2 linked regions of the Stegostoma tigrinum genome follow. The protein of the gene in region 1 interacts with the protein of each later gene in a pairwise test. Links are inferred from orthologs where the notes say so. Each region holds a gene or a part of one and is shown in the gene's direction. Other genes may lie near its edges.

Region 1 (7,722 bases):
TCTCACATTTTGGTTCTGACCCTCCAGGGAGAGGCAAGAAACATCTTGCAGACACCCACGGCTGAGCAGCTTGTGATAGAAGCTACAGAGGAGGTGGGTAGGGAGGGATAGACTGAGATGGGAGTGGTTTTGTCCAAGAGAGGGGAGGCAGTGGGGCAGGGGAATTGATTCCTGGCTCTGTGTGGTTCGTTCAGGTGCAACATGGTACCCCAAGATTTTGCTGACTTTTCCTGCTGGCCGAACCCAGAGGACCGGATGTGTTTGTCGCTGTAAACATGAGATACAAACACTTTTGACAAGCCAGCTGAAGAGAAGTTCTGGTTTTGAGTGGATGACTTGGGAAATGAAACTGAAAGCCAATAATCACCCTGCGAGTTTAAATGTGATTAATTTTTTAAAAAATTCTCAGGAGTGTTTCAACTGGAAAACAAGTTGGGAGTTTTTTTGAGCCATCAATATTTTAATCAATGGTTATTTGTATATTTTTCCCTTATTTAGGAGGAATTAACCATAATTGCCCCATTGGTAAGTGATGACTGACTAGAGTGGTCAGCTTTTACATTACTGTCCAAGGGACAGCACTGAGTGAGCATCGCACTGTCGGAGGGTCAGTGCTGAGGGAGTGGGCACTGTCAGAGGGTCAGTGCTGAGGGAGTGGGCACTGTCAGAGGGTCAGTGCTGAGGGAGTGGGCACTGTCGGAGGGTCAGTGCTGAGGGAGTGGGCACTGTCAGAGGGTCAGTGCTGAGGGAGTGGGCACTGTCAGAGGGTCAGTGCTGAGGGTGTGGGCACTGTCGGAGGGTCAGTGCTGTGGGAGCGGGCACTGTCGGAGAGTCAGCGCTGAGGGAGTGGGCACTGTTGGAGGGTCAGTGCTGAGGGAGCACCGCACTGTCGGAGGGTCAGCGCTGAGGGAGTGGGCACTGTTGGAGGGTCAGTGCTGAGGGAGCACCGCACTGTCGGAGGGTCAGCGCTGAGGGAGCACCGCACTGTCGGAGGGTCAGCGCTGAGGGAGCACCGCACTGTCGGAGGGTCAGCGCTGAGGGAGCGGGCACTGTTGGAAGTCCTTAATCGCTGGAAATCCTGGCTTTGGAGGTGACTGTGTGGGACTTGAGCTGATGGTTACCTACCATCCTTCTCTGGACTTGGTTTCAGTTTTACAAACTGAGGGAATCAAAAGAAACAGAAACAGAAACTGAATACGTCCAGTAAAAGCACTTTCTTGCTCAGTTGAAGTTCTTGGGAACCTGATAAATTTCCCACACCTCAGTATTTGGACTAACTTACCAATCCAAATGAAGCCTTATTTTGCGCATCTTCCACTAGACTTTACAATTTGATTTTGTTGATTTAAAAAAAATAGAATTTGATGTAATCTCATTGTCCATTGTTTCAGAATGTATTGATCCCAGAGGAGGAGGAGGAAGGTCAGGGTTGATTTTGAAATAAGTTCTTGTCTTGCTGCTTCTGATACAAATGAGATGAAATTTGGTATTGCTTTCGATGGCTGCTGCACCAGACCAATTGGTGGTACCCTATCCTTGGCTACAATCTCTCTCTCCCTCCTGCTTTGCATGGCTCTCGAGATAAGCCAACTGGACTGAGAGAAAAAATAGGGTTAGGGTTAGGGTTAGGATGCTGCTTGGCCTGCTGTGTTCATCCAGCTTCACACTTTGTTATCCATGAGAGAAAAAATATTTTTCTTTGGGCAGAGAGATAGGAAGCACCGATGCAAGGTGATTAGAGTCATAAAGCTGTATAGCATGGAAACAGACTGTACAGTCCACCCCGTCCATGCTGACCAAACATCCCAAATTAATCCAGAGATAACAAAGTGCGGAGCTGGAGGAACATAGCAGGAGCCAAAAAGTTAGCTTTCCAGCTGCTCTGATGCTGCCTGGCCTGCTGTGTTCCTTCAGCTTCGCACTTTGTTATCTGACTCTAACATCTGCAGTTCTTGCTATATCTCTATATAAATCTAGTCCCATTCATCAGCATTTGACCCAAATCCTTCTAACCTCTTCTTATTCGTAAATCCCATCCAGATGATTTTTAAATACTGTAATTGTAACACCCTGCATCACTTCCTCTGGCACCATACATGCACCACCCTTTTTTACACTTTCCCCTCTCACTTTAAATCTCTGGCCCTCTAGTTTTGGATTCTTCCCCCTGGGGGAAAAACCCTTGGCTAGTCACCTAAGCTATGCCGCTCATGATTTTATAAACCTCTGCAAGGTTACCCCTCAGCCTCCAATGCTCCAGGGAAAATAGTGATCAGAGATAATGGGAACTGCAGATGCTAGACAATCCAAGATAATGAAATGTGAGGCTGGATGAACACAGCAGGCCAAGCAGCATCTTAGGAGCACAAAAGCTGAAGTTTTGAACCTGGACCCTTCATCAGAGAGGGGGATGGGGAGAGGATTCTAAAATAAATAGGGAGAGAGGGGGAGGCAGACCGAAGATGGATAGAGGAGAAGAAAAACTGCTCAATGTCTAGACGTGACTGGTATTCGTTGATGTGTGGGTGAAGGGGGACAAAGGTGAGCCCCTTGCTGAGGACTGACCGTTCGTCTTCCGTCACTCCCCATCCCCCTTTTCTGATGAAGGGTCTAGGCCCGAAATGTCAGCTTTTGTGCTCCTAAGATGCTGATTGGCCTGCTGTGTTCATCCAGCTCCACACCTTGTTATCTCCAGGGAAAACAGTCTATTCACCCTCTCCTTGTAGCTCAAGCCCTCCAGTTCCAGCAACATGCTTGTGTATATTTTCTGAAGCCTTTCAAGATTAGTGGCAGAATCGGAGGTGAAATGAGGAAAACTCATTTAGAGGATTTGGGCACAGCCGTGGAGGCCAACATTCATTGCCCGTCCCTTGGACGAAAGAGTCAACCACATTAAAGTGAGCCTGGAGTCACATGTAGGCTAGGCTGAGTTAAGACAGGGCAGATGGATAGTAGTGAACCCGGTGTGGCATCCTCTACATTGGGGAAAACCAAGCGGAGGCTTGGGGACCGCTTTGCAGAACACCTCCGCTCGGTTCGCAACAAACAACTGCACCTCCCAGTCGCGAACCATTTCCACTCCCCCTCCCATTCTTTAGATGACATGTCCATCATGGGCCTCCTGCACTGCCACAATGATGCCACCCGAAGGTTGCAGGAACAGCAACTCATATTCCGCTTGGGAACCCTGCAGCCCAATGGTATCAATGTGGACTTCACCAGCTTCAAAATCTCCCCTTCCCCCACCGCATCCCAAAACCAGCCCAGTTCGTCCCCTCCCCCCACTGCATCCCAAAACCAGCCCAGCTCTTCCCCCCCACCCACTGCATCCCAAAACCAGTCCAACCTGTCTCTGCCTCCCTAACCGGTTCTTCCTCTCACCCATCCCTTCCTCCCACCCCAAGCCGCACCCCCAGCTACCTACTAACCTCATCCCACCTCCTTGACCTGTCCGTCTTCCCTGGACTGACCTATCCCCTCCCTACCTCCCCACCTACACTCTCTCCACCTATCTTCTTTACTCTCCATCTTCGGTCCGCCTCCCCCTCTCTCCCTATTTATTCCAGTTCCCTCTCCCCATCCCCCTCTCTGATGAAGGGTCTAGGCCTGAAACGTCAGCTTTTGTGCTCCTGAGATGCTGCTGGGCCTGCTGTGTTCATCCAGCCTCACATTTTATTATCTGTAGTAGTGAACTGCAGTTGGGATCTGGAATGTCACAGCCTGAGAGGCAGGAACCGGATAACTATCCGAAGAGGGAGGATTTGCAGAATAAAGGTGGGAGAGTAGCTCAAGCCAAGTTGCTCAGGTAGCGGAGGGCATGGAAGCGACGGGCCAAATCGTTGCGACCAATCGCTGAGGCGGCCCCCGGTAACTGCGGAACCCATGAGTGTGTACTGCAGGCGAAGCCGATCTCCGAAGAGCAAAGAAAATTAAATAGACCCGCTCCAGATCAGACGGTGCCATTCATAAATCCGGTTAACTGCGGGAAGTGGGGGAGGGAGAATGACGTGCTGACAGACCAATCGCAGCCCGATATACAGACGTATGGTGGCGGATTGGCTATTGGCTTTTGGCTTGGCCCTGTGTCCAATCGTAAAGTGACAGGGTGGGTCAATCAGTTTGAATGTCGGGCAGACAGTCCAATCGGGAATGGCCATGGGCGGCGGCTCCGCGCGACGGGAACCGTTAACCGTGATTGACAGCGCGGCAGCCCATTCAGAGTGTAGAAAATGGCACGGAGTCGCCGCAGGTGACGGCCGCCATCCAGTCAGCGTCGAGAGGAGGCGGATCTGGCGGTTGTCGCGCGCCTCCCTCACTCAGGAACAAACATCCACCCTGTTCGGTCCGCACCAACGGACTTTCCAGGAATCCTACCAGCGGCCAATGGGTGAGCGGGGGCGAGCGTATCGTCCAATCGGTGAGCCGTTATCTGGAGTGGGCGGGGGTTCGCGTTTGATCGATGGGCGCAGCGAGCAATGGAAGTGGAGACAGCGCATGATGGAAGGTGCACTGTGGCCAATGGGCGTGACGGAAAGCGCACGTTGGTGAGGGATTGGGCCGGTGGGCGACCAATGAGCGACGGGCGGGCGGGGTTGCGCGAGGTGGTGTTGTGGGGGGCGGGGCGGTTTTTTTTAATAACCGGAGCCGAGCGGCCGGGAGGGTTTTTTTTTTCCTCCCTCGTCCGTCGCCGTCCCGTCGGTGATTGCTCCCCCCGCTCCCAACCCCCTTCCCGAGCCCGGCCGGCTGGCTGGAAGGAAGGTGGGCAGCACCATGGACGGGCTGGCCGTGGAAGTGCGCGGCTCGAACGGCGCTTTTTACAAGGTGAGGGGAGCGGCCGGCGGATCGGAGCCCCAGCGCCGAGAGAGAGAGCGAGCCAACTCCAGACGCAGGCTGCGGCCTAGTGTCTGAGGGCCGGGCCCAAGATGAGCCTGTCGCCTTCAGGCCGGAAAGGGGGGAGGGGGGGGTGGCCGAATGGGGGACGAGAACCAATGTGCCCTTAGCCTCTGTCCGCGCCCCCCCACCCCTCTCTATCCCTTCACTCTTCACCCCTTCCCACCCCTTCCCTCTTCTTCCTTCCTTACTTCCCCACCACCCCCAAAATCTGCCTCCATCTCCCTCTCTTTCCCACCCCCCCCCCCCCCCATCACAGCCCTTCCCCTTCCAGCAATCTGACTCCTTCACACCCACCCCACACACACCCCCCACCCCCCCGGACCGATCTCCCTCCTTCACCACCCCCAGCCCCCCTCTCTTTTCTCTTTCTCCTCCCCGCCCCCCCACCCACCCCAATTCTGAACTCCCTCCTTCACCCTTCTCTCCCCCTCTCCCCCCCCCCCCCCGGACCAATTTCTCCCCCTCTCCCCCCCCCCCCGGACCAATTTCTCCCCCTCCCCCTCCCCCCCCCCCCGGACCAATTTCTCCCCCCCCCCCCCCCGGACCAATTTCTCCCCCCCCCCCCCCCCCCCGGACCAATTTCTCCCCCCCCCCCCCCCGGACCAATTTCTCCCCCCCCGGACCAATTTCTCCCCCCCCCCCCCCCGGACCAATTTCTCTCTCTCTCTTCCCCCCCCCCCCCCCTCCCCGGACCAATCTCCCTACTCCACCTCATCACCCCCACCCACCCCCCCACTGCCCCTCCGGACCAATATTCCTCCTGCACCCCACCAACCCCCCCCCCCCCCCCCCAAACCCCGGACCAATTTCTCTCCTTCACCCCCGTCCCCAGGACCGATCTCTGTCCTTCACCACCCCCATTCTCCTCTCTCCTCCCTCTTTCCCCCCCCCCCCCCCCCCCCCCCAGGAGCAATCTCCCTCCTCCTCTCCCCTTCACCCATCCCACCACCCCGGACCAATCAGGTGGCCCTGAATTATATGAAGCTTTGTGTTGGATCTGCACCATCCATGAAAGTGGGAGTATTCTGTATCTTGTGGTGCGGATTTGGGAATCGGGAGACTGGAATGGTTGGGTTGGCTTTGTCCTGTTTGTTTTCGAGATAGGATATACTGGGTGCTTTTTGACACCTACCTGATTAAAGTTACTGTTGCTCTAGCACAGCTTGGCTAGAGGTTCTACCAGTTCTGTACTTTAGTATTGCAGATGGAAGTCAAGCCCTCTAATCTTTACTGAGTCCAGTGCGTTCAGATATTTCTTGATACCATGTGTGAATTGAATGAACTGAAGTCTGGCATCTGTAATGTTCGGAGATTGATGGATCTTACAAATGTTGCAAGCAGGAGGTGGCTATTTGGTGCTTTGAGCCTTCTTTGATCTTGTCAATAAGATCATGACTCATCTGCCTTTTTCAGATTCCACATTCCATGTACTTTGATAATGCTTGATTCTCCCACCTAACAAGAATCTGTCTCAAAGATATTTTAGTGACCTTGCCACCACCTCGGGCAGACTTACAATATCATACAACACTGGGTTTCTCCTCTTCAATGTCTTAAAAGTTTGACCCCTAGTTGTTACAGATCTGTCATCTTGAGTTGCAGCAGTCTGAGGTACAGGAATACATAGTGCTGTAAGGGTAACCAGGAATTCTGACCCAGCTGCACTGCAAGAATACAATATATTTCCGAGCCAGGATGGTGTGAAGCTTGAAGTGGGGTGTTTCCTTCTGTCTGGCTTCCCTCATCCTTGATAGACAACCTATAACCGTACTAAGGAGCTTTGGTGGATAGTACACTATTATGCATTGGTGGTGGAGGGTGTGGATGTGGTGTCAATCAAGCAGGTGCTTTGTCCTGGATGCTGTCAAGCTTGTATTGTTGTTGCTGCACCCATCTAGTAAGTGGGAAGTATTCCATCACCCTCCATAGAGTCTTGTGCCTTTAGAAGATAGTGGATAGGCTTTGGAGATTCGGAGGTAATTTACTTCCAAGACGCGCAGCCTTGACTTGCTCTTGTAGCCACCGTTTGGTGCTAGTGTTCAATTTCTGGTCAGTGGTAACCCCCAGTGCATTATGAGGGATTTGGCAATGGCAATGCCATTACACTTCAAAGGAAAGTGAGATTTGCTTTTGTTTTGAGATAGTGATTGCTTGGTATGTGTGGTGTGAATGTTATTTGACACTTGTCAGCCGGAGTTTGGATATTGTCCAGCTCTTGCTGCATTTGCGCATGGACTGTTTCAGCATCTGAGGAGCTGTGAATGGTGTTGAACATTGTGCAATCGTCAGCAAATACCCCCATATCTCATCTTGGGATTTGTGGAAGGTTGTTGAAGCAATTGAAGGTGGTTGGTCCTCAGACTGTACTGAGGAATTCTTTGCTCTTGTTTGTGCAGTTGATGGAGGCTAATTGCAACGTGATTGAGTAGGAACTGGAAAAATTAGATTGGAGTGGCTGTTTGAGGGTAAGTTCATATCTGACACACATCTGATCAACTTGGAATGTTCCTGTCGGGATGAAAGATAGGATGGCATGATCCTGAGATGTTGCACGACAAGCCATTGAAGTTAGTCGAAAGAGAAAAAGAAGTATATGTAAGGCTGAGGAAACAAATCCGACAAGCCCTTGAGAATAAAGGAGGCAGAAAATCTTAGAAAAGATACTAGGAGGGCTAGCATAGACCAAGGGAAATGTCTTTGGCAAATGGGACTAAGGAGAATCCCAAGGTATTTTATACATAGAAGCATGAGGGTAGCTCAGGAAAAGGTAGCTCTACACAAGGATAAAAGTGGGAATTTGTTGAACTAAAGGAAATGAGCTCCTTAATG
Region 2 (7,379 bases), on another chromosome or scaffold:
CAAAAGATAACCAACCTCAGCTTGAGGTTTAAACCTTATAGCTCAAAGCCAACCAATGGACTCTAAATGACATATTCTTCCATCTTTCTTTGTACTTGACAGCATCCCATTTGGCTTTCTACGGTGGGAGTGTCCAATTGACTGCACACAGGCCAAGTACTTAAGGCCTTGCCATTGCTGTTCTTCTCCGGTTTTGGAAGTAATACATTTTCTTCCTTTAACTCAAGAAAATCTTCTGATTTTCTCCTTACTGCATAAAGTAAAAAGTAATTAAATGCAACTTTATTGGAGAAAGTTTTAACCTGGCAGTAAAGAGAACCAATATCTCTGTTGTGGTTATGAGAAGGGTGAACAGATGTGAGCCAGCTCCCCCCTCCACTTCTCATCCAGCTGTAAGTTCAATACCCCATAGGAATGATAACACAAGATAATACTTCATACTGTACCCTCAATGCAGTGATGAAATATCAGCCTTGATTGTCTGTTCAAACCTGTTCTACAGAGTGGTGCTTCAGCTCACAGCCACTGCCTCAAAGGAGAGTGTTCCACTAAGCTAATTCTCAAATTGGTTCCAAATGATGCTCCAGCAGTCATGGAAAAAAATCTGTAATCATTTTCTAAAATTGAAGGATAGTTCCTGCCAAAAGCATGAGGAAGAAAATATTTGAATAACTTAATTTGCTGGACTTACTTGTTTCTAACGACAGTGCTGAAAAAAAATTACAGCTTTATGGCTTTTTGATGTTTTACTCACACCTTGTCGCTTTTAATTTTTTTTAATTTAGTGGATACTTGATTATAAAAAGTTTAACAGTTAAATTGGTATTGCACCTCAAAAGCACACCCCTTTGGGAATACTGCTCCTCTAAATGGTGTGATGTTATAAATTCACACTAGACACAACATCTAGTTTACAGATGTACAGTATAAATTAGATTTTAAAAAATCTTGGAGATTCTGATTTTATACACCAATTCCACATCCTGAGTTATGAATTTATAGAAAAAAGTTCCAACAAGCTGTTTTCAGAATGCACATATTGGAGTTTTTAAAAACTGGCATTATTAAATAAATGTGATAATGCGAACTGCAGATGCTGGAGAATCCAAGATAACAAAGTGTGAAGCTGGATGAACACAGCAAGCCAAGCAGCATCTCAGGAGCACAAAAGCTGACGTTTCGGACCTCGACCCGTCATCAGAGAGATCCTCTCTCTGATGACGGGTCGAGGCCCGAAACGTCAGTTTTTGTGCTCCTGAGATGCTGCTTGGCCTGCTGTGTTCATCCAGCTTCACACTTTATTATCATTATTAAGTAAATCATTGCTCTTAAAGCTGCATTCAATTAACATATGTTTGTATGATTTTTAAAAATCTAAATCAGTTTTCCTACGTCGACAACACATCCTTCCAAAGTAACCCAGTCAACATGTAGGCATATAAGGGGCAAACCTAATTCCCTCAAAGAGTGGCAGAAAATTAAAATTATTAAACTGTAACACATAACCCCAACCTACTAGCCCACATCAAATTGAATGTAGGAACATTTGGTTACCTGCAAGTAACCTGATCACCGCAAGTAAGTCAAATCATTATTAAATGGTAATGTGAAATGAATTGTAATTCATCAGGATTTCTGAACTTAAAATATCTCCATCATAGGATTACCAGGCAAAATTAAACTCATTAGTGAAACATATGAGTTGAAAGCAAGTGAAGTTCCAATTGCCCAATATAACTGAAGACTCTGTGTTTGAAGCTGCTTTTTCAGTTCTCTGAACCAAAATGTTTTATAAATGTTCTTGAGATTATAGCTGTTTTTCAGAAGTTTTTAAAGCTTTCAAATGGATTTCAGGAAAGAGAATGGCACCATGGATGTTTCAAAATTATAATTAGCTAAACATAAAGAATCCATCTGAGGAAGGGTCACTCGACCCAAAACATTAACTGATTTCTCTCCACAGATGCTGCCAAACCTGCTGAGGTTTTCCGGCGGTTTTTATTTTTGTCTCCGATTTATAGCATCTGCAGATCTTTTGATTTTTATAAAAAAATCCTTTCCAGGTGTTGATTCCCCAAGGATCCCATATAATACTCCAACCATTTTATCCAGGTTGATAATGGCCACGTAATATATGTAACTGGACTAGCAATCCAGAGTCACTAGACTCAGGTTCTGAGACTATGCATTTGAATTCCACCGTGGCAGGTGCCAAAATTCAAATTTGATTACAAAAATCAAAAATTAGTCTAATTGCAATTATGTAACAATCATTGTTTGTCATAAATACCCATCTGACTCATTAGCATCCTTTAGAGATGGGAATCTGCCATCATCACCCATTCTAGCTTACACGAGACTCCATAGCCATAACTTTTAAGTGTTCGGTGAAATTGGCTAGCAAGCCAAACAGTTCAAGGGCAGTTAGGGTTGGGCAAAAAGTGCTGGCAGAGCCAGTGATGCACAGATCCCATAAATCAATAAATAAAAAGTCTCTTTCCCAAATTTTTAAGTTAACAAAGTCCTTACTGCTGATGATACTGCTTTTCTATTGCATATAATGTGTAAAGTGTTTACTAGAGGAACCTTGCAAAGGAGCCTTTTAATAAGTATCCCATATATTGTAAACTAAGCATCAGATGGGAGTCAGTGTTGTTTTATTCTATCAATAAATTTTAAAACAGTGTACCTTCTGTAGCATATATTACATGTGATGCACTCTGGAACACAGGCCAAGCATAATTGCTAGCCAACATTTGTCACAACTGCATTGACATTGATAGCCTTCCAAATGCCCAGTGATTTTACAGTGAGCTTAGAAAAAAGTAAAATAAAAATCAACATCGGATTTAAATAAGTTATTTTAATTAGTGGTATGCTACATTTGAGTTTTCAAAGACAGCTAGAAAATGAATTTCTTGCATTAGGCAATTAAAAGTAATTTGTGCGAGGACCATTTTTTGAATTGTTCATGCAGTTTGGATATTTAAGATTCTGCACAATGCCAACTTGATCAAATCTGTGCCTGTTAAGACACATATTCTAGTCAGCTTATTTTCAGAACAGAATTACATAGAAAGGCAGCAGAAACCTGGGAGTGGTCAGGAGTATGGAATTTACTAAAGTAATTGATGAAAACAGTAAGGATCAATTTAACTTAAATATAAGTTTGTGATATATTGAAAGGGTTAGAACTAGTTGTGGGGACATAGGAGGGAGTTTGTAAGCAACATTAAGACTAGAATGCAGTAACCAGTTGGGCTGAATGAACTTAGGAGCTATACATTCTGTAGTTCTGGAATGGTTAGGGGATTTCAGCAGAAGATATGGTCAGAAATGATCAGATGTCTCAACAGATGGTGCCAGACCTGCTGATAGTTTCCAGCAACTTGTTTTTGTTTTTTTTTCACTTTTTATTTGGTAAGAACATTATTCTGGAGAATTACAAAAATTAGTTAAAAATACACATCTCATCCAAATACAGAACTCTAATAACTTGTCATCGACATTTCATTCACTTCTTTTTCATACAACTTCACACAATACAGATAAGTAACTCCTGAATATGTTTTTTTAGGACTCAAAACTGAATAAAACGAACGTACTGACAAATATGTAAAGATTGATGAAATTTGTCACTTCAGTTTGAGTACTTTGGCTAAACATTTCCATTCGAGAGTAATTATACTAATTTGTTGGGAGAGCTTTATTTTCCCCTGGAGAATAAACAATTTTTAAAAAAATTCAACATAAATAGTATCATAAAGTAAGGTTTTGGATGGCAGACACAGAACTCCACAGAAGCTGTGATAGTGTTAGGGTTTTAAGGGAAACTACTAAAAGGTTTCCAGTATCATTTTTAAATCTCTACCTCCTTACAGCATTTCTGCATTGTTAAACAATGTGCTTAGAAAATATTAAGTCAATACAGCACTTTTCTCTGCCCAGTTTAGTGCCTTCCGCGCCCATAAGAACATAGAACAATGCCCACGATAGCCCACGATGTTGTGCCGACCTATTACCCTAGACTAAGATGAAACTACTCTACGTTCTACTATAAGTAATAGCAGAACCAACAACTGCAGCAGAACTTCAGTTATCATAATGTTTCTGTATTTGTGTATGAAATCTGTTCTGCCTCGGCTGTAGCACGAAATCCTGCTATCTGTGTTACCTGTGCTGCAGTGCCACCAATCCGAGGGCGATAACGTGGGGCACGTCCAAGTGAGTCGGCCACTCGCCAGCAGCGACACAGCCAAACACGCCACACTCCTCCCGGATCCCCGATTCTTCAAACTCCATGCCAGTTCCACACTAACTACCCCAACGAAAAGTGAGTGAACAAAACCCCAGCCCACCCACTACCAGGCTAACTATTTCAAAGTAATACACTCACTCCCCGCTCCTCATTATCTAGCTCGTATTCTTTTTCTCCCTAGCTCCCAGGAGTCAACACGTGCCTCACTAAACCCGCCACCACCCCCACATGTCACGGACCTCTCCAAAACGTTGAGGGTGTGCAAATTAATTAGATAAATGCATGTAAATAATTTTTCGTTGTTTTTAGAACTTATCATATGTGAACGTTAGAAACTGATGATCAATTTGTAATATGTATAATACATACATATATATTTATATATATACGCCGTCCCTTCTTTATGCAAACGTGTTCCTTTCATTGCAGACTCTTCACCACCCCCCTTATCCCTCTCGTCTTGGTACATCTCATTCAAATTTCGGAACGTTCTAAAACCGAACGCGCGGCTGTTAGAAGCACGAGATCGTGAGAGGGGCCTACGGTAGGAGATTCTGGCCTGGTGTGTGGGTACATAGCTATGAGGTCCTCGGGGTAGCGAAATATGGAGACAGTAGCGGACGTGTGCGGGGTAGAGGAGGAAGTGGGGTATCTGTGGAGGGTGGGCAAACTCTCGCTGGGGAAAGGCATCATTGAGGTGTACCCCGGGGTTGGTGGAGAGGGAGGCTTGGCGTGCATTCCGTGGAAAGCACATTGCGGCCTGTTGTGTGTTATGTTTTTCTTCTTTAAAGAATTTAAATACTTTTTTTGTTTTAAAGTTGTAGATTTGCAAAGTTTTCCCAAGATGGAGAAGTTTGGAGGTAAGTAAAATTTCCAAGCTCCCTCTTGGATTAACCGCGACCGCTTTTACTTGACGGCTCTACCACAGTATTTACGGTGCTAAAATCTCGCAAAGAGACAGTTTCGAAACTGTACCGCATGAAAGAAAACGACCAGTACACCCTCGGTTGGAATTGTATTGTTGCTATTCATCTGTCAGTGCTTCCGAGATGAATTTCTTTTGTTGAACCTCAGTAACATGTTATGACATTCAGCCTTGTGATTTTTTTTCTTTTAAAAAATTGCTTTTTTTTCTGGTTTTAAACCAGTCAACAATTTAAAAATGTTCAGTGGCTTTAAAAGTGAATGATTTCACGTTTTAAATAATCCTTTTATTTTCCGAAGAGCTGAAAATTGGAAAAAAACTAAATGAAGGAAAAACCAAGGAAGTATACGAACTGTTGGATTGTCCCGGGCAAGTTCTGATTCAGTCCAAGGACCAGATTACGGCTGGAAATGCAGTCAGGAAAGACCAGATGGTGGGCAAGGCTGCGATATCTACTAAAACCACTGTTTCTATCTTCAAACTGCTGCAGGATGCTGGTAAGACTTCTGCTACTGACATCGGGCAGGATATGTGCATCTTCTGTAATATTTGTGTTCATGCTTTTTTCTTTTTAAGGCATCAAAACTGCGTTTGAGAAACAATATGGGGAAACAGCATTTGTGGCAGCAAACTGTGAAATGATTCCTATTGAGTGGGTTTGTAGAAGAATTGCCACAGGCTCTTTTCTGAAAAGAAATCCTGGTGTAAAGGAAGGATACAAGTTCTGTCCTCCAAAGATGGAGATGTTCTTTAAGGTAGTGTAACATGTTTGCTGCTATTAGTTTTGATGTGGTTGAGGTGTTAATAACCATTTTCTAGTTGTGTAAACAAAACTTTGCTTTTCCATCCATCTTTAATATCCCTTTGAAATCACTAATCATTTCAGCTTCTGTACTTTTTCAGCTGGGGTCTTGTGTCAAAACTCTGTCTGCCATATTACATACAGTGGGTCAAGAACCACCGCTTTGGGCTTCATCCTGTCCACTAACATGACAAACTCTTCAGGTGGTTGCACAATGATGCAGAGTTGGGGGGGGGGGGGGGGAGCGGTGCGGTGAAGAAGAGAAAGAGAGTTGCCTTTTTGGAATCTGAATATTGGCAGTGAACTTGAAGTCTCATGGCATCTGGACAAACACTGATTTGGAAAATGTTAGGATGACCAGCATTGTGGAGCCCCTGGCTCAGTCTGTGTTCCTCAATTTTGAACACTTTGAAAGAACTAATGAGGGTGGTAAGGGCAGAAAATGTATTTTGGTTGGGAGCTGTCATATTCAAGGGCAAGATTGGCAAGTCTGCAGCTTAATGAACCAATGAAGGGGAAGAAAACTATTTTTAACTTCCTCATTAAATGTTAATTTTGTCATGTATCAATCCATAATGGTATTTTTGAGTGACATCAAAATGTCATCTGAGACAAAGTCCTGTCATCGTGTTTGAGGATACTGTCCAACATGTTGTATGATACCAACACTGTGTGCTAAAAGGAACAAAAACAGAAGGTGCTGGAAAAGCTGAGAGTCAGGCAGCATCTGAAGAAAACAGCAAAGTTAATGTTTCAGAGCTGGTGACCTTTCCTTTTAGAACCCTAAAAGGGAACTTGGAACACTTGGGCAACTTCATACTGAGCACACGTGAGCCCATCAGGAGAATTGTGGTGGAATACAGTCTGTAACCTCATGACCACAATGTACCTGTATCCTACCATTTTCATTCAACCTGGCTCAGTGGTGTGTGCGTGCGTGTCCTTATGAAAGAAAAAGATTTTTAATCTGGAGCTGCAACACAAGGCTAGTTGCATATGAAGCAGACTGGAGTAAACAGCTTTTTCTTTGCAACAAACTGATCAAGTGTCAGCTAGCATTCCTGCCAATTCCCCCCTCAAATGATTCTGAGCAGTTAAATGACTAACAAGCTCCCTAAATGTCCCCATTCTCAATGATGGGGAAGCCTCAGCTGCCTTCTAATGGCTGAAGATTAGCATCTTTTGATATGGGAGACATATCTAGCACAAAGGAGGATGGTTGGGGTTGTGTGAGTTTAAAGACTTCACTGCAGAAGTTGTTTCCTCTGGTGTCCCAGCCCTAACCATCTTTGGTTACTCCCAGCAGTGACCTTCCCTCCATCACAAAATCAAATGTGCAAACTTTCCAAAATGTTTAATGCCATTCAGGACTCTTCTGATACTGAACAGTCCAT

What was found.
Region 2: the proteins of RNA-binding protein FXR1-like (region 1) and paics interact in binary tests that used the Homo sapiens proteins (3 or more experiments, as listed by UniProt). The link is inferred for Stegostoma tigrinum from reciprocal best matches to the Homo sapiens genes FXR2 and PAICS.

What each region holds. Positions count from the first base shown.
Region 1 is NC_081398.1:2,575,745-2,583,466, reverse strand, and holds the start of RNA-binding protein FXR1-like, read left to right. Parts: upstream 1-4,629; 5' UTR 4,630-4,770; coding exon 4,771-4,821; intron 4,822-7,722. UniProt on the Homo sapiens protein: mRNA-binding protein that acts as a regulator of mRNAs translation and/or stability, and which is required for adult hippocampal neurogenesis. Specifically binds to AU-rich elements (AREs) in the 3'-UTR of target mRNAs.
Region 2 is NC_081354.1:109,761,688-109,769,066, forward strand, and holds the start of paics (multifunctional protein ADE2), read left to right. Parts: upstream 1-4,317; 5' UTR 4,318-4,333; exon of another isoform or gene 4,334-4,471; intron 4,472-4,687; 5' UTR 4,688-4,802; exon of another isoform or gene 4,803-4,820; intron 4,821-5,076; 5' UTR 5,077-5,102; coding exon 5,103-5,118; intron 5,119-5,482; coding exon 5,483-5,680; intron 5,681-5,759; coding exon 5,760-5,938; intron 5,939-7,379. Other genes in the region: ppat (amidophosphoribosyltransferase), read right to left, coding at 4,175-4,302. UniProt on the Homo sapiens protein: Bifunctional phosphoribosylaminoimidazole carboxylase and phosphoribosylaminoimidazole succinocarboxamide synthetase catalyzing two reactions of the de novo purine biosynthetic pathway.